3 linked regions of the Rattus norvegicus genome follow. The main gene of each other region encodes a partner of the protein of the gene in region 3 in a complex. Links are inferred from orthologs where the notes say so. Each region holds a gene or a part of one and is shown on either strand. Other genes may lie near its edges. The genes, in order: Wtap, Mettl14 and Rbm15.

Evidence for each region.
Region 1: Rbm15 (region 3) and Wtap share a complex: the UniProt entries of both Homo sapiens proteins name them as parts of the WMM complex. The link is inferred for Rattus norvegicus from reciprocal best matches to the Homo sapiens genes RBM15 and WTAP.
Region 2: Rbm15 (region 3) and Mettl14 share a complex: the UniProt entries of both Homo sapiens proteins name them as parts of the WMM complex. The link is inferred for Rattus norvegicus from reciprocal best matches to the Homo sapiens genes RBM15 and METTL14.

What each region holds. Positions count from the first base shown.
Region 1 is NC_086019.1:50,066,777-50,076,619, forward strand, and holds the start of Wtap (pre-mRNA-splicing regulator WTAP), read left to right. Parts: upstream 1-4,196; 5' UTR 4,197-4,381; intron 4,382-4,481; exon of another isoform or gene 4,482-4,615; intron 4,616-4,657; exon of another isoform or gene 4,658-4,964; intron 4,965-9,225; 5' UTR 9,226-9,233; coding exon 9,234-9,263; intron 9,264-9,843. UniProt on the Homo sapiens protein: Associated component of the WMM complex, a complex that mediates N6-methyladenosine (m6A) methylation of RNAs, a modification that plays a role in the efficiency of mRNA splicing and RNA processing.
Region 2 is NC_086020.1:214,226,747-214,236,507, forward strand, and holds the start of Mettl14 (N6-adenosine-methyltransferase non-catalytic subunit), read right to left. Parts: upstream 4,667-9,761; 5' UTR 4,516-4,666; coding exon 4,450-4,515; intron 2,276-4,449; coding exon 2,187-2,275; intron 1,416-2,186; coding exon 1,328-1,415; intron 1-1,327. UniProt on the Homo sapiens protein: The METTL3-METTL14 heterodimer forms a N6-methyltransferase complex that methylates adenosine residues at the N(6) position of some mRNAs and regulates the circadian clock, differentiation of embryonic stem cells and cortical neurogenesis.
Region 3 is NC_086020.1:197,636,487-197,646,339, forward strand, and holds the start of Rbm15 (RNA-binding protein 15), read right to left. Parts: upstream 6,212-9,853; 5' UTR 5,344-6,211; coding exon 2,478-5,343; intron 1-2,477. UniProt on the Homo sapiens protein: RNA-binding protein that acts as a key regulator of N6-methyladenosine (m6A) methylation of RNAs, thereby regulating different processes, such as hematopoietic cell homeostasis, alternative splicing of mRNAs and X chromosome inactivation mediated by Xist RNA.

The sequences.
Region 1 (9,843 bases), on a different chromosome or scaffold from region 3:
AAACCTAGTACCTTCCCACTTTAGCCTCATGATGGGATGTCCAATCACCCTAGTGCACTTTTAAGGCAGAATAAATGCTATTTTCTCATAGTTGAATTTTCAAAGTGCAACATTAATAACAGTCAATTACAAAGATGAAAACATAGCTTTCCCTCTCTCCTCTCACAAATAACTGGTGCCATGGCTGGTTTGGGTCTTTTTGAGGCAGATCTTGCTAGGTAGCCCAGGCTTTCCTCAAATTCCTAATGTCTGCCTCAGTTCCTGAGGTTTGGGGTTGCAAACAAGCTAGAGCTTTCCCATTTTCAGTGTTTGCGATCAACTCCCTTTTGAGGCTAAAATTGCCCCCAATTTGGCTTGTGGGAAATCCTCCAAGCAGGCTCATGTGGTTTCAAATTTACTTTTGGCACATATTCTATATAATGAACAATGGCCAGACTATATACTGTATGAAACAGAATTGTAACGCATGACCAAGAACAACTGTCTCAAGAAGGCAAAACGTTATTAACACTAACCAGCCCAGGAAGCCACCCTGCTGCATTCAGGCTGGAGGGAAGTCAGGCTGTGCTCTCTCCTCATTCTCCAGGAACCTAGATCATGCCTCTCGAACAATCAGTGCTGGAGATACAGGCCTGTGTTGCGCTCCCCCCCCCCCCATCCCTGTATAAAGTGCTTCATGAACCCGAGGCTTCATATATGCCAGGCACTCTACCAAGCTGAATTATATCCCCAGTCCTTGTCTCTACTCCCAACTTAGACAACTATGCCCCTCTATGGCAAGCAAATGAGGTGACTGGCTTCCAACTGGTCACCTCCAGCAGTTCAGTGCCCAGCCTCCAGTCAAGGCACAGTCCCTTCCCAAGGGGATGCCTCCTCTGCCTCCCCTGGAACCTCTGCAAACCCAAGACATGACTTGGACTGACTTCTTCCCTCCATGTCCCAGATTCTCAAAAGACAGCCTCTGCTTTTTAACTTTTATTTTTCTTATATTTTTATATGTATATTATTATATTTTATTGTAACTTTTAATTTTTTAGTTTTGAGCTTCTGCCGTTCTCATTTGGTTTGTCATGGCTTGTTTGCAAACTTTATTTACATGTAGCTTACATGCAACACATGTGCCCTTTTAGTGCTGGCTTGATTAGTTTTGGTAAGTGTGCATATCTGGCCAACAAGCTAAAGAACAAACACATAAGCCTGGCTAATCACACACAAGAGTGTACCTATGACCCTGAGTTCCTTAATCTTCCTCCTCAGTAGATTCCTCTTCCCTCCCACGTTTAGCACCTGCTGACCTCTAGACAATCACAATGGGTCAGTTTGCCTTTTCTCCTAAATCCTGTGACTAGACCTTACTCACTCAGACACTTCCTCTACATTTAAGATATTACACAAGTTTTTACTTATGTCTCCCAGAACTGGAACCAAGAGTTCTGGATTTTTTTTTTAATGTAAAATAGAACGTGGGGGGGTGGGATTGCTTCAGCAGAAGTGCACTTGAATGCTCTTCCAGAGGTTCTGAGTTCAACACCCAGCAACCACAGGGCAGCCCGTGATCTGATGCCTACTTTTGGTATGCAGGCGTACATGCATACAGGGTGTACATAAATAAGTTTACAAAACTTAGACACCAAGAGTGGGTGCTAGCTGCACTTACTGTCACCACTGATGCACAACCATCCTGCTTTGCCTGGGACGATTCTTTTAGCTTTATGTGTATGACTGTTTTGTGTGTGTGTGTGTGTGTGTGTGTGTGTGTGTGTGTGTGTGTGTGTGTGTATGCCATTTGTGTGCCTGAAACCAGCCCAGGTCAGAAGAGGACATTATGGATGATTGGGAATGGCCATGTGGGTGCTTAGAATTGAACCCACGTCCTCTGCAAGAGGGATAAAAGCTCTCTTAACCACTGAATCATCTCTGTAGCCCTTGCCTGGGAATATTCAATTAAATAAGCCATTGCCCCAGGAAACTACTTCAATACCTGGGAAGAAGGGACAATCAAGGAGTTAAGTTTTTTTTTTTTTTTAAATGGGCTATATTAATTGTACAACATGATGGGCTTCGTTGTATCTTTCTGTGGTCAGAACTCCCTGGAGGTGGAGTCATGAGCCACCTGATACGGATGTGTCTTTCACCTTAAGACACTTTGAAATGTGTCCAAGAAGCTGGAGAGATAGCTCAGTCATTAGAGCACTGGCTGTGACTCCAGAGACGCAGGAGTTCCCAGCACCTAAATGGTGGTTCACAACCATCTATAACTCCATTCCAGATCTGCCGCCCTCTTCTGACCTCTACACCCACCAGGCACACAGACAACACTCATGCATGTAAAATAAAAAAGTTTAAATCAAAAAAAATTTTTTTAAATACAATGTGTTCAAATATGTGTATGTACCACAGTATACCACATGTATGCCCACAGACCAGAAATGGTCATCAGACCCATTTCTCTGGAACTGGAGTTACAATTATGAGCCACCATGTGAATGCTGGGAATTGAACCCAGGTCCTCTGGAAAAGCAACAAGTGCTCTTAAGTATTGAGAGCTATCTCTCCAGCCTCAAGATGATATTTCAATTTTTTTTTCTTTTCTTTTTTTTTCGGAGCTGGGGACCGAACCCAGGGCCTTGCGCCTCCTAGGCAAGCACTCTACCACTGAGCCAAATCCCCAACCCCCGATATTTCAATTTTAAATAGTGCTTCTGAACTTCTTTGGTTTTTGTATTTGTATCTCATTTGTTTATTATATATAAGTACACTGGGGCTGTCTTCAGACACACCAGAAGAGGGCATCAGAGCCCATTACAGATGGCTGTGAGCCACCATGTGGTTGCTGGGAATTGAACTCAGGACCTCTGGAAGAGCATCCAGTGCTCTTAACGCTGAGCCATCTCTCCAGCCCTGTATCTTATTTTCTTTTACACTAGAAATCTTTGGAGAAAGTAACATTGAAATGTTTGTACTACAATAAACATAACTTCAAAACCACAGCAACAATGTTATAATTACAAATCACTTAGTGAAACTGAGTGATTCTTAGGTATCCACAGGCACAGTGCCAGAGTGTGAAACTCAAAACACTGTAGCTATATATATTCTTTGTCTATGTCTCAGTTCCACTGCCAAACTGCTTAAGAGTCAATTGGTTCGTTTCAATTTACTTGACTTTGAAGGGTTTTTACCTTTTGTCTTCATAAATTTTGAACTCAGAGAAGCCTTGCTTCTACCTTTATCTCCTATAGCCATTACCACTTTTTGAGTAAGTATTAAGTTTCTGCAATATCCTTCTGTCTTCCCAGTATGTGCCTACATATATGTGTATATGTATTTCTACACATTGCTTTATTCACTCAGCCCAGTAGTAATTCCAAAGTAACACATTAACTATTAATGACTGCATCCCTACCAGGATACAGGATTTCAATGTGTATTTCCATTATAAACAAAGTTGATCCTCCTCCTACGATATATTTAAGGACATCTTCTCTGTGAATCATCTGTTCATGTCTTTTCCCATTTTCTTTAGTTTTCCAAGACCTTTTTTTCTCTTAGCCTAAGTGGAACACCATGGCTCCTCTGGTCATCTGGTCTCTACTGTAATTGTGTACTTATAAGTGATCTCAGCCAGGACACCTTCGCTGGGGATTAACTGCTCTCATAAAACCGACTAAACCTAAATATGACTGTCCCATCTGGGAAGTGCTGAAGAGACTGCAGACTAACGCCGTTCTTGCTGTAATCCAGGCGACTGTCTTACTGGAGTGATTTCTCGGACTCCAGAATCCTCACTCTGCTGCCTTCTCCGGGATTCTGGTGTGCGATCTGCCCTGGAACGTCCCACAGGCGCAGCTTCCTTGCACCTCAACTTAAGCCCAGAGACGCCACAAGGAGCAAAGCCGGCGGCCGCAGGGAAAGCGGCGGCTTCTAAGGCCCCCAAACTTAGGACGAGGGGCGCTTAGGCGTGAAGCTGCTGTCTCCGCGTTCCGGCAGCGCGAGCGGAAGCATCCTGTGCTATGCGGCCTGCAGCGAAGAGCCAATCACGCGCTCGTCGGCTCGGATTCCTCCGCCCAGGCCGTGCTGCAGCCGCAGGTGGCCCCGCCGAGCGTGTCCGGCAGCGGCCGCCGTCCCGTGATGCCTCGCGGGTGACCTCTGACCTCGCGGGCCCGCCCTTCTCTCCGGCCGCTTCCCTCCCCATCCCGGCTAAGCTTGCAGAGCCCCCACGGGGCAGGTGCGAACCTCCGCGGACGGTCTCGGTGCGGCTGCGGAGAGCCGCTTGCCCCTCCGCGCCCCGAGACCCCGAGCGGGCCGGCCTCGCCTCGTCTCTTCTGGCCGGAGGCACCGGGCACGGTGACCGAGGCGGCGCCCGAGAGGCGCGTCTCGGGTGAGTGGGCCACGGGCGGGGTATCGGCGGCGCACTCGGGGCGGGGCGCACTCGAGGCGGGGCGGGGCCGACGGCGGGGCCTGGTTTCCTCCCTCAGCGCCATTTTGTGGCTGCGAGACCCGCAAATAAAGGCTATCTCCGGGGCTGCGGCGGGAGGAGTGCGGGGGGGGGCCGGCGGCGGCGCGGCCTCGGCCTGTGTGACTGGCGGCGCCCGCGCAGCCTCGGGCTGGGAAGGTAGGTGCGGCCCGCGGCGGGAATGGCCACGAGGGCCTGCAGGGACGGGAAGCGAGGCGCGGCCGCCCTGGACCCGGCGAAACGCACTCCAGGCCCGAAGGGCGACCGGGCTTGCGGCCGCGCTGGCTTCCCGTTAGTCAGAGCGGTTTGCTGCTCGTGGGGATACTTGCACCGTTTCACAGCCATTCTGCTCCCGTTCCTGACGGCAGGGGACAAGGCGGGCGTTCCCGCGACTGGGGAGGCGGGGAGGCCGGAGGCCGCCCTCTCGGGGCTGACTGGCCATGCCTGTCCTTTCCCCGCCTCTGTCGCCCCCTCCCACCTTCCAGGGTTCGTCACCCGGGACCTAGAGGTACCGATAGTTCTGTATGACCCAAGTGATGCATTCGGTTCTTTAAAAAAAAAAAAAAAGGAATTTCACGTCACGCAGTAGCTTGTCATTGCAGCCACGTTCTCATGTGGACTTCCATTTTTACATAAGTATGCATTGTGAGAGTAGTTAATTTTTTTGACAGCTTCCTGAAATTTTTCGTGAACTTTTAGTCTAGTTTTGGATCTCTGTAAGGCTGATTTGACTATATTTAAACTTGATTTTCATAAGACAGTGCACAGTGAGAAAAGACCTAAGTTTTTCTGTTTGTGTACATATTTTCTTATTGGGGAGGGCGGGGGCGGCTAGGGATGGAACGCTAGGCCTTGTGCATGCATGTTATTAGGCCAGCATTCTGCCATTCATCTAATCCCCGAGCCCACAGTTCTTGGTTTGATAATGAGGAAGTCAGTTAATTTGACCCCAAAGGACTAAGACACTGCACACTGGTTGTAAGGATCGGTGAGCATGTTATAGTCGTAAATTGTATTTATGCCTTTTTTGTCGTTCTCACTATAGCCTCGCTTTTTTCATTTAGTTAATTTTATTATTTGGAAAGATAAGTGGAAGTCACAAATCAGTTACTACAAATTCTATTTGTTTTTCACTTTAACTTATTTATTTGAGCATCGGAGCTGGAGAGTTGGCCCAGGAGTTAAGAGTACTTTTTGCTCGTCCAGCACCCAATTGATGGCTCGTGGCCATCCTTAACTCATGTTCCTGGGAATTTTGACTTCCCTCTTCTGACCTCTGTGGGTGGCACCAGGCATGCACGTGATGCACATACATACATGCAAAACATTTACAAAAAATTTTTAAAAGTACTTAATTTTAAAACCATGCACCAGGTTTTCTCATAGGTAAATATGTAGGCATCTGAAACTATTAAAAACAGACATTTTTTGAGGTGGCTAGGTTTCATTCATTCAGCAACTATTGCTCAGGCAAGTTGGGGAAAGTTGCAGTCTACAGGATGGCTTCTGATGTGTTGGAACTGAATTTTAAGGATTTGGGCAGATGTGTTTCTGAGGGTGCTTTAGTTCTTCATTCTTAAACAGATGAGTGTGTTTGAACACTACTTAAATTATGGTTTGTAATAGCCATTTGATGTATTTGGACAGAGCATTACCATTTTCAAGGTCCCTCCTGTCTTTTTGTGTATATAATGTAGACTCTTGAAAATATTGTTAGCCGCCTAGATAATTGGTGTAAGGTGTAGTTAAATTTATCATGCTCTTTAGAAGTTTTACTTGATATGCATTCTTGTTTTTATCTCCCACTTTCTTCCTCTAAATACTTCCTATTTCTTTTCATTAAGCTTGGGAAGTTTTTTTTTTTCCAGTATTCCCATCATTGAATAAGCTATTGGTGTTAGGTGTTAGGCATTTCCATCAGACAAGATTCAGTGTTCTTTGCTTTAAAGATGAAGTTGGTAGAGTTTATTTCCTGTGTTGATTGTGTTCAGGCAGTCCTTGTTTGTATAGTGTTTTTATGGTACCAATAACAGACCTGCAGTACTTTGTGCCCTAAGCAACACTGATGTGGAAACTGAAGCCCAAAGAATTAAGTGACTTGATCACATAAACAGGAGACTGAAATAGTGTTCTGATTTCTAACAAGTCCCCTTACTCCTGCAGTGCTGAGGCTCCAGCACTGCCAGACGATGCCATTTCTTAACATCCACTGTGATTTATTTCAGCGAGCCATATACATGCCTTCTTGCATAACTTACCTTGGCGTGTGGTTGCCTTTCTCCAGAGAGTACTAAGTTGCCTAACTTAGGATCATAGTGTTATGATCTGGGATGGTAGGCACTTAGTCAACTAAAGCAGTTCCACAGCCTAAGCTAGGCTTTAAGAGTGGATGGCATTCTAAACTGAGATGAATTCTCTGAACTGTCTACACAAATAAGTTTAAAGTTATAGGTGTTTTGTCGTACGTCTGGAGTTAGAATTGTTATGAGCTACAGTGTGGCTGCTGGTAATCGAATCCAGGTCCTCTGAAGGAGCAGTCAGTATTAACTTCTGAGCCATCTCTCCAGCTGCTCCTTCCCCCTTTGTGTAATTTAAAAGCCCGTCATCTTTTAACCTGTTGGAAGTTTGCCAAATTATTCGTGTTTGAGGTTTTCTGTTTTGCCTTTTTTTTGTTTTGTTTTGTTTTGTTTTGTTTTGTTTTTAAAGATGGTCTGTCTCTCTGTAGCCCTGGCTGGCCTGCAACTTCCTTGTTGTAGAACTTGAAACTCTCCAGCCTCTGCCTCCTGGGTGCTGTACTGAACTATATGTGCTGTGCCACAGTGGGCAGGTTTTCTTGTGCTCTTCTGTTTGTTGACACAGGGTCTCACTGTAGCCCTGGCTGCCTGGAACTTGATAAATCCTGGTTATTCAAAATGCAGAAGTGCATGTTTTTTTTTCCTCTCTCATTTGTCATTTGAAGTTCCGGAGCCCTGCGTGTGTTTAGCATGCACTGTAAAACTACGTTACATCCTTAACCCATGTCATACTTTTTAAAAAAGTATGTGTGCGATGTTCTGCTCACATGTATGCCTGTACACCAGAAGAGGGCATCAAATCCCATTATAGCATTTAGAGAGTTCCTAAAATCCTGATTTCTTCTGTATAACAGACCTAATTGGGTTCAGTGGTGGTATGACTAGACTATTCATGCATATGGGAGTATATGTACATTTATATTGGAAAAATCTTTACTTATGACAAGTCATATGTTCATTGAGAAATTAAATATCTTTTTAAAACAGTATAACAATTTTCAGTCAAAATCTTAATCGTCTAGAATTTTGAGACAGTCTCTCTGTAGCTTTGGCTGTCTGGAACTCTCAATACAGGATGGCCTCAAAATACAGGGATCCATCTGCCTATCCTTCCAGAGTGCTCAAATTTGAAGCATATGTTACTACACCCAGCTTATAATTTAGAATTTTTGATAGGTATTGGTAAGTAAAATAAAATGGAAAAAATAATTAAAGACAGAAGGTAACTTTGAGAACTAAGACCTAAGAATAACTGTTTGACTCCTGGTTAAGTTTGAATATTAGAAAATATCAGGGGGTTGGGGATTTAGCTCAGTGGTAGAGCGCTTGCCTAGCAAGCACAAGGCCCTGGGTTCGGTCCTCAGCTCTGGGAAAAAAAAAAAAGAAAATATCAGGTGTGTTCATAAGAACTTTTTTTTAAGATTTATTCATTGAATATACAGTATTTTGTATGTGTGCACACGCATGCGGGAAGAGGGTACCAAATCTCATTATAGAATGGTTGTGAGCCACCATGTGGTTACTGGGAATTGAATTCAGGTTCTCTGGAAGAGTAGCCAGTTGTCCTAACCGCTGAGCCATCTCTCTAGCCCCTAAAGATTAGTTCTTAATTCTCTGTGTGTGTGATAATGTGCATAGGCTTGCCTGTGGAGGCCAGAGGTGTTGGTTCTGCCTGGAACTGGAGCTGGAGTTGTGAGCCACCTTAGGTTGAATTCTGGGAACTGAACTCAGGTCTTTTTTGAGAGCAATTAACTGCTGAGCCATCCCTCCAACCCAAGAATTCATGTTAATTGTGTATAAATTATTACTTTAAAACAACTTAGATTTAAGAAAAATACTGTCCCACAAGCCGAGTCAAGCAGTGTTTAATATTTGTTAGGTTAGCTGTCTTTTCTGTATATTTATTTCCCAACTTGTATTGTGTAATACATTGTTTAAGGTCCATACTGTCTTAAGGTAGGCATACTTTATATTTAACATCCTTAGAGCGTAGTGAATCACATGATGGGTTCTGCTTCACTGTCAACAGCACAATGCTGTAGAAGTCAAGGCCAGAAAACTGGTGGCTGGTGCTGCCCTTCTAATCCTTCAGCCTTCTGAGGCCCGACTTACTGTCAACATTTTTAAAAAATTACACAACCATGATGATGAAAGATGTTAGCAGAGACGGAATTTGGTGAAGTTATAGGGGGTATTCATCATGTCTTTGTTCTTTTTGTTGTTGTTGTTAATTGAAACTATCCTGGGCTAACACTTACCTACAGTGTCAGGAGTCCTGGGTTGAATCCCTTTCACCACAATAAAAGAAGGGATCGAAGTACTATGAAATACAAGATTGTTTTAATAACTATTTCACATTAACACTTGCTAATAACTGGTTCAAAGGAAACAGTTTTAACTTTGAGGAAAAAAAACTTTAATTGAAAGAAAATTAACTGAATGTATTTCCCCTAACTCCCCTCCCCCCTTTTTTAGGGTACAAGATGACCAACGAAGAACCTCTTCCTAAAAAGGTATGTTTCAGCATTTTTCACCTTTTTCCCCTTGTACTTTGTTTGCATCAGGGGACTACAAAGTATTAAGATACGTTTCTGTACATGGTCAATCTAGAATGAATGATCACAACTTTCAGAAGGTGTTACAGGATTCCTGTGGTCTTTAGTTCTTAGCCTGAACCATTTCTGGCTATTTTACAAATTTTACATATATATATGTCCTATTTTTTTAACCCTCCAGGGTTGTAACTTAAATCTATCCATCTGAGGATTGTTAGGGCTACAGCTAATTAGTTAGTTCTTGTAGTCTGCTTTCTTCCTTCATTTTCTAACTTTTGATTTTTCTAGTTCTATAGTTCTTTACTGAGTTTAGCTATCATTACTTATGGGTATATACATATATCCTTATACATATAGACTTTTATACATATAGGTATAGATAGCCTGAGGTTCTGTTTAACAGTGTGATGTAAGTTATGGAAGGATTTGTAATTCATTATGTTATATAAAATTCTGGCAGAAGTTTTGGAGTCAACATTACTCAGGAGTGAATTAAGAAGAACCAGGTATTTAGTGATGTGGCAACTATGGTTTGCTT
Region 2 (9,761 bases), about 17 Mb from region 3:
AGGCAGAGGCAGGCAGATGTCTGAGTTCAAGGTTAGCCTGGTCTACAGAGTGAGTTTCAGGACAGCCAGGGCTATACAGAAAAATCCTGTGCCCCCCCCCCCCAAAAAAAACCATAACACACACCACACACATACACACAGACACACACACACACACACATGCATATATATACATATTCATATTTTTCTTTACATATATTTTATATATACATTTATGTTTATATAGTAAATTATTGCATCTTAAGAGTGTTTTATTCCCCTCAGATATGTTTATATTAGCATTACATTTAGATTTACTTTTTTAAAAAAAAATTTTGTTGATTTATTTATTTTATGGTTTTGAGTGTTTTGCCCTCAGGAGGTCAGAAGAGGGCCTCAGATCTCCTGGAACTGGAGTAACAGACGGCTGTCAGGTACCATGTGGGTGTTAGGAACTGAATCCAGGTCCCCTGCAAGAGTTCATGGTATGAACATGTGAGTGCTGGTACCTATGGATGGATGTTGGAAACCAAATTCAGGTTTTGCTAAGTGGATAGGAAGTTGGGAGGGGTTTTACAGGCTGGGAAGCAGGGGTTTAACTAGTATTAAGGGTGTTTGAAAAAGTCACGTGGAAATGTACTATTTTATAAGATATTTAAATACATATATAGAAAGGAGCTTAACTTGAGTTACTCTACACAAAGGAAATGCCTCTTCCAGAAGTCATAGATTGCCAAATAAAAATCCCAATGTCAGTGTGAGAAACCTTCCCTTGAATTGTTGGTCAGGGTATCAAGATAACCCTGCAGAATAGGCTATTGCCATTGTTTCTGATCACCCACCAGAACCTGATAGTAGACCTTATTGCCAAAGATAGACATATTTGAGTCATAAGACTTGAGAAATCAAGCTAGAACCAACCAGAAAGCATCCTCCCTGCTGGTTAGCTTGTATAAGGCTGAAAAGTAGGCTACTGGGAAAGAAAGCTCACCAAAGGCTTTATATAGTTGTGAACCTCAGGATATAACAACTGGCCTGGCCAGGCATGCATATGGTACAATCATGGCATACACATACATAAAATGAGCAAACTGATATGTCTTTTTTTTTCTTCTTCTTCTTCTTTTTTTCGGAGCTGGGGACCGAACCCAGGGCCTTAGCGCTTGCTAGGCAAGCGCTCTACCACTGAGCTAAATCCCCAACCCCCTGATATAAGTCTTTAACTGAGCAGATAAATGTTACTCATAAGGATTTTAGGATCTTACAGTTCAGCTCTCTAAATGAGACAAATCTATTAGGATTAACTTTTTTCTCAAACATGTATAAAACTACCTCATTTTCTACTTGCCTTATATTCTTCTACTTTATCTTCATCCGTCTCTCCTTCATCCAGACACTTCCGTTTTGAATTTGGAGCAGAAGTATCATAGGAAGCCCTGGGAATTCAACCGCAGCTGTCTTAAGGAGCGCACAGAAGGTGCACATGCATCTGCTTGTATTATTAACAAGTTACAGAAGCGAAGCCAAATGTTTCCTGATTAAATGTCTACTTACCTATAAAACATCCAAAAGCCAAAGGCAATACTTGTAGCTTTATTTATAAGAAAGCAACCAAGTGAAAAAAATAAGCTAGTATAAAGACTTATTATGAGGAGAAACTTTTAAATAGTGTTTCATATATTAGTTTACATAATTTTATACTATGCTCTGAAAGCTAAACTGATAGAACCGAAAATTCAGAATAAAAAATTATGAAATGTTTTCTGAATTATCAGTTGAATACCACGTTTGAAGTACATTTTCATAAAATTGTAATTTATAATTTAACAGTTTTTATGGTATGTAAGCTAATTCTTAGTATAACATTTCACTTCCACCTATTTTATAAATACGAACCCAGTATTTTCACAAAGACTTAATAATTTCAACCTGACATTAAAAACTATTTCCAAAAAATCTTCATTTTCACAGTTTTCTTAAGAACACATTCAAACCTGCAATTAGTTATTTATTAAAAAAATCAACCCTTATGGGAGATTCTAGTTCTCAAGAGGTTCAGGCAGAGGTGCTGCAAGTGTGAGGACAACATGGGCTACAGAGCGGGACTGTCTCATTCCCCCAAAATAACCCTCATAAATACGTCACAACAGAAACTTACACGAATGATCCTTTCTCACTGTACACACGTCACTAAAAGGTCAACATACCTGCAAGTTTCTCTTGTTTCAGCGATCTCCCTCTGTTCATCTTTGCTGTTTAACACAGCACCAATGCTATCTGCACTCTCAGCTCCCAACTAGGAAGCAAGAACCCAAAGTTAGGTCACAACGCATTGTTCACACGCCCAAAATGTGCTGCTAATTTTAATAAATCAAGTATTTTATAAAAGCAACACCGCCCATACCACACTATCAACAGGCGTGTAAGTGAACGGTAAGAACATCGTTTTAATTAAGAATGATTTTATCAGCTGGAAAATATTTTATGCATTTGGTTATATTTGAAATTAAGATGATTCTCTTTGGCCAATTCTGAATAAAACACAAGTTGGCAGTACTATCAATAACCCAAAAGCAAATGACTTCATATGAATTGCTTTATATATCATATTCTATCCCATGCTCTCACAGAAATGCAATCAGTTTCATTAAAGCTAAGCTCCGAAAAAAAGAAAAAAAAGAAAAAAAAAAGCTAAGTCTTTAATAAAATTTACTAATAGCTTAAAAACGGTAATGTCAACTTTAAATGGCCACTGAAGAAACTCTGCAGAATGCAACAAATGTAAACAAAGGCTGAGCTGAATAAAACTAATTCACAGAAAACCTTCCAGGTCAGACTAAGGACACAGGGCAGCACGAGGAACTCTTTAGTATCAAGCACAAAAACGGCATAAGAAAATCAGTACTTAGTGTTCCCTTTAGCTCCAGGGCAAGAAGGTATTCAAAAATATCAGGGCTACAAATGAGCAGCTTTGACTTTAAACAACAAAATCTTCTCTACTGCTTCCTAGGGCTGCCTTCATTTCTCCAATAAAAGCTCTCTTCCAATACACCAGTTTCAACTCCTCCGTAAAAATCTTCTCCACGTCTTTCTGGTCTGAGGACAGAACATGTACTTCCTATAGTTAGAATTTTCTAATTTTCTCCCCATGACTATTTGTAATTCTCATCTCATCTCAGTCAATCCTTCAGAAAGTTCTCTGAGGAACCCAAGATTTAGCAATGGAAAGTGACAGCAAGCTACCTTAATCGCTGAGCTACCTCTCTAGCCAGCTTCACATTGTGAGATTGGTTTTAAGGGAAGTTTGTTTTATCTTCTTGAGAGCCTGCGGAAAGACTCATTGGAAATTTAAAATTTACTCGCTAAAGCGTTGAGCATTTCCCTCCATCACTTATATTGGTTTGCATGGGGTAATGACAACAGCTTCAGATTTTAAGTGAAACAACTTGTAGTATGTACTCCCTGCACGTGTGGTCCACTAAACGGCAAGCACTCACATACTCATCTCACTTCAAGGAAAGTGAAAGGTTTGGAAAAGTAATGTTTGGAGAGACAGATCTTAGTTAATTCTCTGGTGAGGACTGGCCAAGGAGAACCTAACAATCTTGGAAGCCTATTCCAAGTAGGAATAAGTAAGGATTCAAATGTTTGGTTGATGGGAGATTGTGTTTTAAGGGCAGAATCTTTACTCAGTTGCTTCCAGTGAGTCTTTCCACAGGATCTCAAGAAAATAATCAAACTTTCTCCAAAACCAATCTCAGTAACGTGAGGCTGGGGCTAGAGAGATGGCTCAGCGCCTAAGAGCATGCACTGCTCTTCCGAAGTTCATGTCTCAGCACCCACATCGGGAGGCTCACAACTACCTGTCGCTCCAGCACCAGGGAGATCCGACACCTCTGGCACATATACACACGGAGACAAAACCACACACTTTAAAATAAAAAAAAAAATCTTTAAAAAAAAAAAAGGATTTGAAGCTGATTTGGACGAAAAGCAAGACGCGAAACATTGCTTAACCAGTGAAGGTGAAATGTAGGAGCTAAAACTGCCACTTGTCCTTGTTACAACTACTAACACTCATCGACAATTAGCAAATTTATCCCCACCACAAGTCTGTGCTCGCAAATGTGGGTCCAGAAAGTCCAAGACTGGTAGCGGTGGGTCTTCTACATAATGACTTTGACTAGCACGTGTGAGGAGGTGGGGAGACTAGGGAATAAAAGTCCCGGGACAAAGACCTTGACACCGATGAGAATTCACAAAAAGGACAGGCGGGAATTAAGAAACGAGGGGGAAGGGGTTGGAGATTTAGCTCAGTGGTAGAGCGCTGGCCTAGCAAGCGCAAGGCCCTGGGTTCGGTCCCCAGCTCCGAAAAAAAGAAAAAAAAAAAAAAAAAAGAAACGAGGGGGTGAAAAAAAAAAAAGGCAGCCGCGCACGCGCACTGACGTCCCCTCCCACCCGGCCTCACACCTGCTGAGCTAGGAGCTGCCGCCGTAACTTCTGCCGTTCCCGGATCTCCTGCAGGCGGCTGTCCATGCCCCAGGTCCTGCTTCTCACCACCCGACAGACACCGCGCCCGCCAAAACGCAAACCCTCCTCCCAAACCAGGAAACAGCGTCCCACCGAGATTCTGACCCGGAGACTTTCACGTCCCTCAGGAGGGATTTCCGGCGCGCCCGAGACAGGCTAAGCCCAGACAGGAAATCCCGCCTCTGGGACGCCGGCTATATGACGTCATATGACGACACCCAATGAAGGATGCAGAGGTGGTTGCGGGTGGGGAGCCGCTTTCTAGCTGTCTTAGTTCTTAACTCTTTCCCAGAGGTTTGGGTTCGTTTTTTGTTCTGCTCATAAAAGAAGTTTTCTTTCTCGCGTTAACCAATTACCTGCCTGTAAGCCCTGGCTTTTTAACATTTGAGGTATGCTTGTGGGTTTCTTTTACTGCAGTACTGACCAGCTTGTGAAGGATTGGATCTCCACGCTCACTAGCTCAGTACCCTTGGCAAGTTAGCGAGCTTTTGTAAAAGGACAACAGTAAGAGGGCCTTGGGAGGCTGAGGCAGGAGGATCCAGGAGTTTGGAGCCAACCTGGTCTTGTAATGAAACCCCGTCATCCATTTATATAAATAAATTAATTAAAATAAATGCAAACAAACAGCAATAGTTACGTAGGGAAACCCTGTCATTCATTTATATTAATTAATTAAAATAAATGCAAACAGAGCGGTAGAAGCAGGCAGATCTCCGAGTTCAAGGCCAGCCTGATTTACAGAGCAAATTCCAGGACATCCAGGCCTACGCCGAGAAACCCTGTCTCGAAAACAACAACCAAACAAGAGTTTCTTGCATAATAGCAGAATTACATGACAAAAAAATGTTAATTTTCAAAAAATATACTGTAAAATATTTTGACTGTATAGTGTTAACATGTATCTCTTTAAAACTCCGCTGTATTATTTGCTAATCATGACTGCTGAGACTAGATGCTCACTGAGCATTTCTTATAGCAAGTATGGTGGGCTCTGGAGTCTACGAAAGATCAAAGGTCAAAAAAAACAAAAACTCAAAATGAACATGGCAGCTCCTCCTTCTGTCCCGTAAGCTCTAAGCTGGGTAGCCATTCCAACGCATGCTATCCATTTAAAGTAACTATGTATCTCCTGCATGGAAGCGGGACTGACAACCATGGATCCATACAGTATTTATGAAGTCAATGGGATCCATCAGAGAATTGTTGCAGTTTTTACAAAGAAAGGGATATAACTTTTAAGCTCTCTCACCACTGAAGTTGTAATTACTAGACTGCATCAACACATCTGTAGATCCTGTACATGTTTATTTGTATATCACTTCATCCTCTCAACATACCAGTGTGTGTAAGCGAGAGAAGAGGGAGACGAAGATGAAGTCCAGGTGTCATCCCGACTCTTTGAGGAAACAATTTCATTTGTAGGTACTTGCTTTAAAAGAGTGATGATGCACATAGTTTGCACTGCTTCCTCCAAGCCCCTTAGGATTGCTATCTGCAAACCTGTATATCCAACTGCCTATTGTGTATCTTAGAACATTTCCCATCATCTGTTACATGTGTTACATTGTTTCAGTTTCTTCCAAAAATGTGTGATGAAAATTAATTCCCCAAATCAGGTGTTACTTTTTAAAATAATTTTTAAAATTTCTTCTTCAACAATTTTATATATGCATTAAGTTCATTCGGATGATTGCAACCATCCACCTTCTAGTCTTTTCCACACCTCTATTCACCCCATACATCCCTTCCCCATATTCGTGTCTATGGGGTTATTTACTTATCTTGGTTTGCTGGTTGGTGATTAGTATATCTAGATTTGTTCTGTTTTGAGAATCACTGAGTCTAACCAGAATTGTATATACGACCACTGGGGCCTGGTGAGCGTCTAGTAGGTACATAACTAGAAACAGTGACTGTCCCTGGCTCAGAATCTATTGATATAGCTGTAGTTCATTAGGAGAGGCCCCATGAGCCCTTTCCCAGTCCGTGATTGTTAATTCTATGTTGATAGGCTCAGTATTGTGTAGGCTCACTGTAGTCACTGCAAACTCTGAGGTCATGACTTCATTGGCTGTGCCATGCCCAGAAAACATGTCCTGTCTTCAGGTCTGTCATTCTTTCTGCTCCCCCTTTCTCCATGATCCTTGAGGCTTGAGGGGGTGCTCCGAACACTCAAGTCACTTATTCTCAGCACCTTGGCTTCCATGAATCTCTGCCTTGAAAGGAATGCGATGGGACACGTAGGAAGTGATCGCATCATGAGGACTCCGTGCTCTTGGATGGATTCATTACTTTTTATAAAGGGTTTTTATGGAAAATGTTAACACACACACACACACACACACACACACACACACACACACCAGATTCCTGCCTTCTGCCATATAAGGACCTTGTGGTGGTTTTAAAGACAAGGACTCCCATAGGCTTAGGAGATGTGGCCTTATTGGAGTAGGTATGGCATTGTTGGAGGATGTGTCTCAGTTGCTTCCTGCTGCCTACAGAATGGATGTAGAAGTCTCTGCCCCTTCTTCAGTGCCATGTCTGCCTGCCACCGTGATTTCCACCATGAGAGTAATGGACTAAACCCCTGAAACTCTAAGCCAGCCCCAATTAAATGTTTTCTTTTATAAGAGTTGCTGTGGTCCTGGTGTCTTCTTCATAGCAATAGAAACTGTAACTAAAACAGAAGTTGGTGCTGGGGACTGGGGTATTGCTGTGACAGACCTGACCATGGTTTTGTTTGCAGAAATGTGGACTTCAGATTTAAAAAGCAGCTGAATGCTTTAAGTAGAATTTAATGGGCCAAAGTAGTAGAGAAATGGAAGACAGTGGTGCTGGGGATGATTTGAGCTGTGGGGGCCTGATTTAAGGTGTTTCAGAGGAGAATAGATGAATGTGGCCTAGGAACTATTCTTGTGATGTTTTGGTGAAGAATGTGGCTGCTTCTGCCCTTGTCCAAAACGTCTGCCTGAGGCTAAAGAGATTTTACATATTTTAAAGAAACTGAAAATGTAATGTGTTTGAATTTGTGAAAGACTGTATTAATGTTTATTTTTAAATGTATGCTTATTTATGTTTTTAATGTGAGATCTTGGGGATGGATAAGAAAGAAATGGCGTGGCTTAATAATGGTGTGTTTGTGTGTCAAGTTGACAAGGGGTCAATCAAGGAAGGAATCTTAACTGAGAAAGTGCCTCCATAAGATCTGAGCTTTCTTTGGTTTAAATTAGTCAAGATAGGGACACTTTGCCACAATGTCCTGGTATACAGAGGGTCCAAAAGTTATTTTAGTGATTATCAAGAGCAAAAAGAAAGAAAAAAAAAGATCTGAGCTTTAAGACATTTTCTTAATTAGTCATTGATGTGGAGGGCCCAGCCCATTGTGGGTGGTGCCATCCCTATAAGAAAGCAGGCTGAGCAAGCCATGGGAAGCAAGCAAGTAAGCAGCACCCTTCCGTGGCCTCTGCATCAGTTCCTGCCTCCAGGTTCTTTCTCTGTTTGAGTTCCTGCCCTGACTTCTGTCAGTGACAAACAGCAATATAGAAGTGCAAATCAAACAAACCCTTTTCTCTTCAACTTGCTTTTTGGTCATGGGTTTTTTTCACAGCAATAGAAAACAGACCTAACTAAGACAGATGTGATGTCCCTGCTCTCTGGAAGATGCAGTGGTCAAGTTATCATATTAAATAACCAACAAAAAATGCAGACTGCATCACAATGTTTGGTTTCCTAGTTTTCAGAACTGTGAGAAATAAATTGCTGTTGTGTAAGTTTCCCAGCCTGTTACTGCCACATAGAATCAAACAATATTAATACAAATGCAACCTAAATGAGAGAGAGAGAGCTCTTCATGTTTTTCTATTACAACCTGATATTTATCTTCTTTAAAAAATTGTTTGTTTATTTACATTTCAAATGCTGCCCTGTCCTGGTTCCCCCCCCCCCGCCAGAGTTCCTCCCCCACCCCTTCCCTTCACCTCCGAGAGGGCAGACCTCCCATATCCCCCCCAGCCCTAGGGGCCCTGGTTAGTTGACACTATTGGTCATCCTGTGGGGTCACCATCTCCTTGAGGGCCTTCTGTCCTTCCCCTAACTCTTCCACAGGGTCCCCGACCTCCATCTAAAAACCACAGTGGTTAGATGTCACGCAGTCGGTGGCGGTGCCTTAACTATATGTCTGTTGTCAGGCGCACAGGCCTCTTCCACCCTTGTCAAGGGGAGTGAGTGCTAAACTTCTCTCCTTTCATACAGCTCCTGTTTCACATCCTAACTGCTGCTCTGTCATAGCTGCTCTGTCCGAGTCTTCCTAGCATTTGTGGGAAAATATAATCCCATCATTTCAAAGTTGACTAAAATAAGCTGTCCCAGTGACACGGTTTAGTGAATCACTATAAAGAACACGTGGTGTCAGGAGAAAGGCAGGGTGTGAGTCACTACCATAGGGTAGTGTGAATCCTGAGTTAACCAATATACACATGTCTGTGGATATCCTCCCCCGTCTCCATATCTCCATATCTCCATATGTACCATCTCTCTACCATGAACTGAAGTTTACAGGAGAATATTCACAGGCATGGCTTCAGTGATATGCACCAGCCCTACTAAACAGACATGTACCCTCACCACTGCTGTCAACCAGCCCACCAGCACCAACACCCACTTCTTAAATACCTCACATTAGGATCAGCTGGTTCTATGTACCCTTTTGTAATTTTAGGATAATTTGGTTTGTATTTGGAGATACTCTTCTTGACCACTAGAGGAAACAAAGTACGGAGTTGTCTAGCATAAGCTAAAATAAATTCGAGAGGGTAAAGATTATAAAATGCAACCCATTAGTAGAGTAAAATAGCACGCTATGCAAATAAATGACAAACCATGAGATTGTGAAATGTTTTTCTAAATTGGTTCACCGAAAGGGAATAAAGCAAGAAAGAGGGCTTTTGGTTTTCTCAGTATTAATATCCGTGATGCAAATTATATTATGAGATCAAAATAAGCACTTCAGAGGGAAACACAAAGTCCATAGTGTGGGCTAATCCTGAATTTCTCGTAATTCACTTTGTGTAGCTTTTTAATAGTTTTAAGAAAATGTTTACTGTATATTCCGTGTATGTGTGGGTATAAGTGTGTTATATGTGCATTTGTGGGTTTGTACATGCATGAAGAGACCAAAGGACAGTGTAGGATATTTTTCTATACAGCTTTCTCTCTTATTCTTTGAGACAAGATCTCAGGGAACTCAGAAC
Region 3 (9,853 bases):
CATAAATAGCATACTTAAGAAGCAGTTACGCTAAAGTACTAAAAAAAAAAAAAAAAAAAAAAAAAAAAAAAAAAAAAAAGGCTGTTAAAATGAACATTCAGGGAGGCCAGAGGATGATGTTAGATCCCATGGGACTAGGTGCTGGGAACCAAACCAAGGTCCTCTGGGAGAGAGCCAGCATGTGGTATGCAGACATACATGCAGGCAAAACGCTCATACGCATAAAATAAAATTTTAGCAATTTTAAAAGAATATCCAATATAGGATTCTGATGTGGCTAATTAGAAAAACTTACACTTTGCTGTCAATCAAACTCTGAAGGTTTTAAGTGGCTAATTGACAAATATTATGAACCTGCACAAGAGTAGGCAACACAAATAAGATGGCACTCTGTCGGTAAGCACCAAACTAATTTACATATTACAAACATTTGGGAATGGCATCAAGCCACTCATGTTTCAAAAATACTGAAGCACTAATTGATCAGATCTAATAAAAATGTAGCAGTGTCAGATAAGGGTTCAAATAAGCATGGAGCAAACCATTACAACACATTTGATTAATAGTGAAATTAGATGTCACAGACCACTTCAAAAAAAAAACAAAAACAAAAAACAAAAAACAAATAAAAAACTAAAAAGTAATGACTAGTGAATTATTTAAACTGGAAAAATCTACCTAGCTAACTAAAAACTGTACTTAAACCACATGTAACAAAGTGTTGCATTTTTGGAGGCAAAAGACACCTAAAGTCTTAGTTGGAGGATTTCAGTATTTTTCTTACAGCACACCTTTGTGCTCAGAAGGTCTAGTACATTCTTTTTCTCAAAAAAACAAAACAAAACAAAAACCTCCAAATTAAAATAAAAATCATAAATATATAGTAAAAAATGGTAAGTACGATGTAGTGATGAGGTTTGCATTCTGACATGCTTTATATATAGCCATAATGAAAAACTAAAATTATGTGACCTTTTTCTGGGTTATTACTGATACCATTTCAAGACTACAAGCTTTGAAACAAAAAGAAAACAGTTGGGTTCTGCAAGGCTTTGAGTAAGTCATGTTCACAGAATAGAAAAATGACCATGATCCAAAAACTCAAGTTCCTAATCATAATTAAATACTGGGCCCTAGTTGAAGTCCTCAGTACTTAAATCAAGGAAGAAAATCACATTAAGCCTTAGAAATCACAAGTGGTAGCAGAAGGGCACATAAAACAAACAAAAAAAGTATTATAAAGTAACAGAAGCCCTTATTAAAAACCAGATGTCAAATCCTCAGCTCTCAATTTTGTGGGGAGAGGGCTTGATGGGGGTGGGGGTGGGGAATCTGTGCAGGTAAGTTAATTACAAGTACAAGAAAAATCAAAATTAAAAAAAAAATAGTAATAATTAAAAAAAAGTTTTTCTAACACTGACATTTCAAATTTCTCCAGTCAGGCAACAGTTAGTCAAACATTAAATTTCAAAAATATTCAAAACAGTGTCACCAATATAATGCCACTACTCTTGTTTAAGCAACAACAACAACAACAACAAAACCTGAAGGAATTTTCTTCAAACAGTTTGAAGGCATTTCACAATAATCTTTTAAAAATTCTGTAATTTGGATGTTTGACTAATGTCTACGAGGGGAAATAAAAGGATTACTTATAAACCTGCAGACAACTCTTACTGAAACCAGAAATTTCTTAAGTGGATACAAAAAAACTTCATTTTTGGTTTTGAAGTATGCACAATAGAACTGTATTAACTACACTTCTCAGTCAATTAGAACACTATCCTGCACCTAACTTACCAACAAATTTTCATTTTAAAAGCATTTACTCATTTTTTGCATACCAGTTTAAGATGTAAATGGTTCATAACACAAGTCAACTTTTACCAATTACTGCTACAAACATGGGATACAAAACTCAAAAACTAATGATATATTAAAGCAAACTTTCTGGGAATAAACTGTGTATATAAAGAAATACGCAAACACCTGATTAAAATAATTGGACTTTGCCAATACCTGATCAAATTTTAGTCACACAATGCTTCTAGTATAAATTATCTATGCACCAATCAAATCATTTTCAGTACAGTGTAAATATTTTCAGAAGGTTCCTTTCTCCAAATTATGATTTTAAAAATTGTGGGTTTATCATTTTGAGGATTTTTTTTTTTTAAAAACTCAAGATTGAAAAAGAAAAAATAAAAAACCTGAAGAAAAAGAAAAATTATCAGGGTAAGAACTCCTAATTAAAGCAAATCTATCTTCCTGCTACCTTCAGGGCATCCCTTTCACTTAATAACTAAACTGCCCCATTATCTATTTTAAGGAGGTTTACAAAAATATATATATAAAAAAAAACCAACTAAACTAAATGAAAGAAATTTTCATCTGATGCTGTATCCCATTACACATCACAAAACAAGGAACCATGTCAAAGTAGTAAATACAAGTTACACATGGACTTTAGGACGCACCACGGACAATGATCATGACCAGGTAATCTTCTTCAGATTTGGCCAGTGCCTTGGCAGGGGAATCCAGGAACTGCTGAGAGAACTCACAAGGTGGGAAGGCATGAAGAACCCCGGTGTTTTCCTTGTCTTTATTGCCTCCCACAGGGAGGCTGATCACCCCAGCTGCCTGCTTTTGCTTTAAATAGGACACAAGGTTCCTAAGTGGCCTCTGAGTAGAGGCGGCAGTGTCTGATGTGGCTGAGGAAGAGGAGGATCGGCTGTCAGAACTTCCAGGTACAGCTAGGAGAATGGCATAACCATTAGGCCCTGCCACTTTGATGCGTCGAGTTACTTCATCCAACTTGGGCTGGTCCAAACGGAGCCGCTGAGTGATCTTGAGCTGGGCTACTTTGCCTCCAGTGGAACCCTCCACAAGTAGACTGCTAGCAACTTGGAGGTCACCCTGCAATAGATGCATGTTGGAAGGGAAGTTGCTGTTCTTCAGTAGAAGCATGCCCTGCCAAGCCAAACAGAGTTTGGGAGAGGATGCTGCCACAGGAGCTGTCCCTCCATCCTGTTTCTGGGAAGGTGGCTTCTGCTTTGATGAAGAAGTGCTGGCACTGGGTGTATTGCCATCAGATCGGTCTTCCTTTTTCAGAGGGGTTTTTCCCTCTGTGGGAGCAGCTGTCCGGTGCTTCCTATCCCGTTCAGCTGATGCAGAGTTTTTACGGTCTCGTTTGTCACTCTGGCTCTTCTCCAAACTGCCCCGTCTATCTCTGACTGGGGAAGGCCTTTCCAAGAGTAGAAGACGAGATGATCGATCATTGTCACTGTTGTAACGATCTCTGTTACTGCTCAGTTCTGGACTTCGGTCAGGAGAAGGAGTGCAGTGACGCTGTTTTCGAGGCCGGTCACTCTCGGGTGATCTATCAAGATGCCGTCCTCCACTTTCCTCAGGCAGCCTTCGCTTCCTTGGCTGGTCCCTGCTGCTAGGCAAATCCCGGTCACCTCTGTCCCTGTCCAGTGACCAGCCATCCCTCCTTCGATCCAAGCTATCCAGTGGCTCATAAGCAGTGACGGCACTAGTTGCAGCCCGAGCACTGCGTTCCCGAACCGGTGGCGGGGGTGGCACCCAATCAGAATCGGGATAAAGGTCCCTATCACGATCTCTGTATAGTAAGGGTGGTGTCCGGTCCCGAGCACTCCTCAAAGGGTCAGGTGCTCGATGTCCAAAAGTATCTGTCACTAGTTCATAATGGGTTAAGGGCAGAGGCTGAAGATACTGCTGCTGGTAACGATGTTCTGTGTCTGCAAAGTCTACCCTAAGGCGACGATCTGGGCCACCAAGTGGGAATCCACGCATATGGGTCCAGGCAGCATGAGCTGCATCCAAGCTTTCATACTGTATATATGCCCAACTGTCACCTTTTCGGTAGTCTATGGTTCGAATGGTGCCAAATCGATCAAATTCTCGTGCCAGGGCAGCAAGAGGCACCCAAGGTCCCAGACCACCCACCCAAAGTCGGGTAGTGGGTGTGGCTTTCCCATAACCAATCTTGATTGGATTCCGAATTATAATTTTGCCAGACATTGCTATTTTGGCCCTGTGAGACATGTCTAGGTTCTCAAATTTGAGAAAGCCGTAAGTACTGGTCTGGCCACGAGAAGGCCTCTTAATGTCCACTTCTGTGATGACTCCAAAACGATCAAAAGCCCTTCTCAGATCATTTTCTGTCACAGTGATATCTAAGTTGCCCAAGAAAAGTGTCCGGTTGGCACGCTGATCATCCTCAGGTGATATCTCATCCACTTCTCGGAATGGAGCAGCACCTGCTCCAGCTCCCACCCTCGGCTCAAGACTATATGCTGGCCGCACTCTGTCATAGAACGGATAGTCTCGTTCTCTTTCCAGCTCTCGGGGCAATGGTGGCGGGGGTGGAGGAGGCAGGCGGCCAAGAGCCAACTGCTGCAACCGGTAGTCTCTGTATCCCAAAGCAGCACCGCCAGGAGAAAGCGATCTCTGACCTCCACCTCCTCCAGGGGCGTGCCTGTGGCTACCTACAGAGCTTCCGACCACGCTGGACGACGGGGCGTAAGTATCTTTGTCTAACGGGGAGCGGCTGCGGCGCCGGCTCACATACACGGCTTCTATCTTCAGAGGCCGGTCATAGAGCACCAGGCGGCCTCTGGCATGCTTGGCCGCCCTCGCGTCCTCTGGCCTCCGGAAGTTCACAAAGGCTACCCGCTCATCCCCGCTGCCAGAACCTGAGAGATGACTGATTTTGACACTTACATCACCGAAGCGTTTGAACTCGTGAAACAGTCCGTCCTCCACCGCTTCGTCACTCAGCTGGGACCCCAATTCGCTTATCTTCAGGGTCTTGTACTCCACGCCGTCCCCGCCGCCAGGCGCTGAGGAGGCGGCCCCAGAGGAACGTGACTCCCCGCCTCCACCCCGGGAGCTGCTGCGCGACTCGCCCCCGCCTGAGGAATTTTTGGTGCTTGGGGAGCTGTAACTATGCAAGCGGCTACTGGAGCTGCCCCCACCGGTATCATACTCGCGGCTGCCGCCTCGGCTGCTGGACTTGTCCAGATGAAGGCTCCGCCGCGACCCGCCGCTGTCCGTCTTCCCGCTGCTGCTCCCATTGCTGCCGCCAGAGCCCCCTAACTTCTTGCTCCGTTCCCCACGAGAACTGGAGTCCTCACCGCCACGGGAGCGTTTGGGCTTGACTGGCGAGCGCTCCTTTCCTTTCATTGTTGAGGGTCGCCGGAGGTCGTCTCTGCGGAGCTGACTAACCCGCCACCCCGCGCTCGTTTCACACAGCGGACTCGCACGCCGCCATCTTGGACTCCGCCGCGGCAAAGGCTCCCGCCCCGCAGACCTCATTGGTCAATTAATTCACTCTTCAGCTTTCTCATTGGAAAAACTATTTGTCCGTCTTTACATCTCCCCGCGCTCCGGGAAGGCGCCCGCCCCGACGCTGTTATTGGGTTCCCAACGCCCTAATCGCAGTACCTCATTGGTTATATTCGTTGTCTATCTTAACGGTTCCTCGCGCCAGGCTGTAGCTCCGCCCCTCGCACTTCATGGTCACCTGACCCAAAGCCTAGAAGCGTTGATTGGACAAAAAGTCTGCCCTGTAACGGTACTTCTAGCACGGCGAAAGCAGCGATCCCACCTTCTCTTCCCTTTCATTGGTTTATGGCCACGTCCTTTAAATCACTACTTGGGAAGTCTGGACATCAGTTCAGGCGTTTTTCCCTGAGAACTTGGCTCTCTCGGATCTCGCGAGAGACAAAGAGCTCGCTCGCTCACTCGCTCGCTCTCTTTCAACCCCAGTCTTCCAACTTCTCCGGCGGCTGAATAAAGTTTAAATCTGATTGGATGTTGACGAGGAAAATGATTGGATAAAAGCGCTGTCCATCACTCACTTAAAGGAGTAGGCCCATAAACTGAGGAGTCTGAAGGTGAAAGACTCTACCACGCGCTTGCTGTGCGACGTCACTTAGCTGTCGCGAGACGGTGACAGTGAGTCAGGCCCGCCTCCCCGCGCTTTCGGCGTTCTCTTAAACATTTGTTAGGTCCTACGGCGTACTTGCCTGTGCTTCGGTCCTTCGAGTCTGGAACTTGCGGGCTCCGCACTGTCCTGTCTGGGCGGGACAATGGGCTCGGTGGTCCTTCCGGCTGCTGGCCCTCGATCCGCTTAGGCAGCTGTCCCGGGAAGTCCAGCCGACACCATCTTAGTTAGCAGCCTGAAAAAGCCCCACCCCCGTGCGCGAGAAAGCGCCTGCCCCGGTCTGTGCGGCTGGCTGGGGCGGTGAGTTCAGGGTTCACTGAGCCTCGGGTCACGCTGACGCCCTGGGCGGTACCGAGTCACAGCCCGCCCGCGGACATAGGAAACAGAGCGCAGCCCTGGCCGCCTTGGGCCCGGCAGTGACCTACACTCCGGGCTTCCGGGCCTACCGACTGGTCTGACCTGCAGGACCACTTGCAGGCCTTTTTTGCTTCCTGATTTATGTTGTGAAAATGTGTAGGATTTGCATTCATAAAAGATTTGTGAAAGGTAGCTGTGCTTAGCTTTAATATGTAACGCTTCTCACTGTGCGGGTACTACATTTATCTCGTTTCTTGGACCTCAGCACTCCGATTAATCCATATTAGGATCCAGTAACATGGCCACCTTGTCCCCTCCTAGATCCCCCTCCTTTGACTCCTTTAACCCTGATTCAAATCTAAACGTCTCCCCGCCACCAACTTCGGTGACCCCATGCATCTGTAAGGAGTCTCGTAAGCTTGTGTAATACTGGTGATCATAAGATTAGATGGGTAGGGGTTGGGGATTTAGCTCAGTGGTAGAGCGCTTGCCTAGCAAGCGCCAGGCCCTGAGTTCGGTCCCCAGCTCCGAAAAAAAGAAAAAAAAAAAAAAAAGATGGATAGTCTATACCACTGGTGCTTACCTCCTGGTGAGGGGAAATAGGCTTTTTTTTTTTTTTTTTTTTCTTTTTTCGGAGCTGGGGACCGAACCCAGGGCCTGGCGCATGCTAGGCAAGCGCTCTACCACTGAGCTAAATCCCCAACCGCGAAATAGGCTTTTTTGCAGTCTCCCCAAATATGTACCTTGAAGACATTAGAAAGATTCTGGTATTCCCATCTTTTAAGACTGAGTTGAGAATGTGTTTTAAAACAGGACATTTTACAAGGTGATAAGAATGCCCCCCCCAAAAAAAACCCTTAATTCTAAATTTAAAAGCTATTTGAAGACTAGATACAGCAACCTGATTAGCCCTATTTCAGCCGATTTGTTTTGTTAGTATATAATCTTGAAATTGGTGAATACTTGGTCCAAAATCTCTTGATTACATCAAAAAGATTTGAAAGAAGCCTGATAGGTAAATTATAAACCCCAAAATACTATAAAGCATAGACATACTTGTATTAAAAGTTGCTGTTGTGTGGCTTTTGGAGCACCTATATCCCAGCTACTCTTGAGGGTAAGGATCATAAATTCTTCATTAGCCTGAGTAACTTGATAAGTTGGTGAGATTCTGTCTTAAAACCAACCCCACACAAAAGAAGTCTGGAGACACAGTTCAGGAACCTTGGGCACCTAAGTGAAGCTCTAGGTTCAATTCTTAGTGGAAAAATATTCTTTTTTTTAAAGCACAGTATAGAGTTTATTCAGGGCATGGGGAGGGGAGTTAAGAGGATAGGAGAGAGAGAGAGAGAGAGAGAGAGAGAGAGAGAGAGAGAGAGAGAGAGAGAGAGAGAGAGAAGTTGAGGCTGGCCATGAGCATGTGGAGAGCAGGGCGAGGGAGGGAATGGGGAGGAGAGATTGGGGGCAGGAAGGCAAGAGCAAGAGAGGAGCAAGAGAGAACCGGAAAAAAAATATTCTTTTAAAGATTTTAGCAGGCCTGGTGATGTACCCCTTTAATCCTACCACGTGAAAGGCAGAAGCAGACAGATCTTGCTGAATTCAAGGCCAGATTTGCTCTTTGCTGCCAGATCTCCGCCATCATGTAGGCTCCGGCAAGGGCCTGTCCCAGTCGGCTCTGCCCTACATCCACTTAAGCCCTGCATCCTGAAGTGGTTGAAGTTAATGTCTGATGACGTGAAGGAACAAATTTACAAGTCGGCCAAGAAAGGCCTAACTCCCTCCCAGATAGGTGTGAGCCTGAGGGACTCACATGGTGCGGCACAGGTCAGTTCTTTTGTGACTAGAAATAAAATCTTGAGAATCCTTAAGTCCAAAGGCCATGCCCATGATCTTCCTGAGGATCTCTACCATTTGATTAAGAAAGCAGTTGCTGTCCGAATGCACCTTGAGAGGAACAGAAAGGATAAGGATGCTAAATTCCGCCTGATTCCGATAGAGAGCAGAATTCACCGGTTGGCTCCATACTATAAGACTAAGTGTATGCTCCCACCCAATAGGAAATAGGAGTCATCACAGCCTCTGCTCTAGTGGCATAAATGCTGTTGTGTACATAAGCACTTTGAGTAAAAAAAAAAAGACCAGCCTTATCTATATAGTGAATACTAGGCCTGCCAGGATTATGTAATGAGACCCTGTCTTTAAATATTTATGTGAATATCTGCATGTATGTTAGTGTTCTAATCCCCAGAGAAGCCAGAGAGGGTGATAGAGCCCCAGAGAAGCTGGAATTACAGGGTTGTGAGTCACCAACATAGGCCTCTGGGAAAACAAACTGTGTCCTCTGTAAGAGCAGCAAGTACTTTTAACCCCTGAGCCACCTCTCCAGGCCTGCAAAAATAATATTTAAAAGACCGTTAGCATAAATGCCATCAATCAGAGAAATATGTGTATAATAAACTACCAATTGTCGTTTTAAAAATTGTGTGTTGCATATACATGCTTACATTTTATTGAAATTATTACAGAAATTGCTCTTAGGCGCAGGGCGGAGGCTCTGGAATTAGCAAGAGACTTTTTGACATTGTAAATAAAAATTTCCTTGTAGGATTTAGTTTAAAAATATACAATAGTAGAATATTTTCGGAAGAGCACCCCATGTTCTGAACGCAGAGACTCGACAATCATAAGATCATGTCAATCTTTTTTCTTTAAGTCTATCATCTTATTCCCATCCTTGCCTACTCTATTATTCTATTCCAGGCATGTCCAATGCATTTTGCCTCAGATGTGGAATCCACCATTCCTTCAAAAATGGTTCTCTTTAGTGGAAAACAATACTGAAAAATAAAACTTTGGATATTGGGAGATAAAATAGTTGTACATATAATCTCTAAAATAGCATAAAGAACTTTTCATGGGTGTGTTCATCTATTTTAAGATTATATGAATACTACAGAAAAGGACATTGGATTAAACTTTAACCTGATTACTCAATGTAATAGTCAATCCAGAAAAACTATGAGTGACTGTTTTCAGCCTAAATCGATTAACATAGTGACTCACTGATGCAAAGGCAAGATAAGGACCAGTCAGTGTAGTTCCTGGACCTAATGGCAGGAGTCTGAGGGAAGCAACTGAGAACTAGAAACTAGAACTGAGAAAGATTGAAAGAGATGAAAAGGGACAAACAACTCAGTGGCTCGTCCTTTGGAAGCATCAGGGAGCTTGGTAAAAGCTAGGAAGGCTTCCAAGGGAACTGGAGTCCTTCCTGGAGCCAAGAGGACTGGTAAAGTTAATGCTAACAGCAAAGGCCATCACCTTTTGGCAGTAAGAGTCAAAATATAGCCTGTTACATGTTTGCCCATGACAGAACAGAATGATGACCTAAGCATTAAAAGTGTAATCTTTTTATTCTGCTTGTACTTGACTTTAAGCAAATGTTCATTGAAATAGAAAGCAAACATTGAGAAGACTTGCTGTGATTAAGTGATTTATTTTGTTTTCATTTCCTTGGGTTCTTTG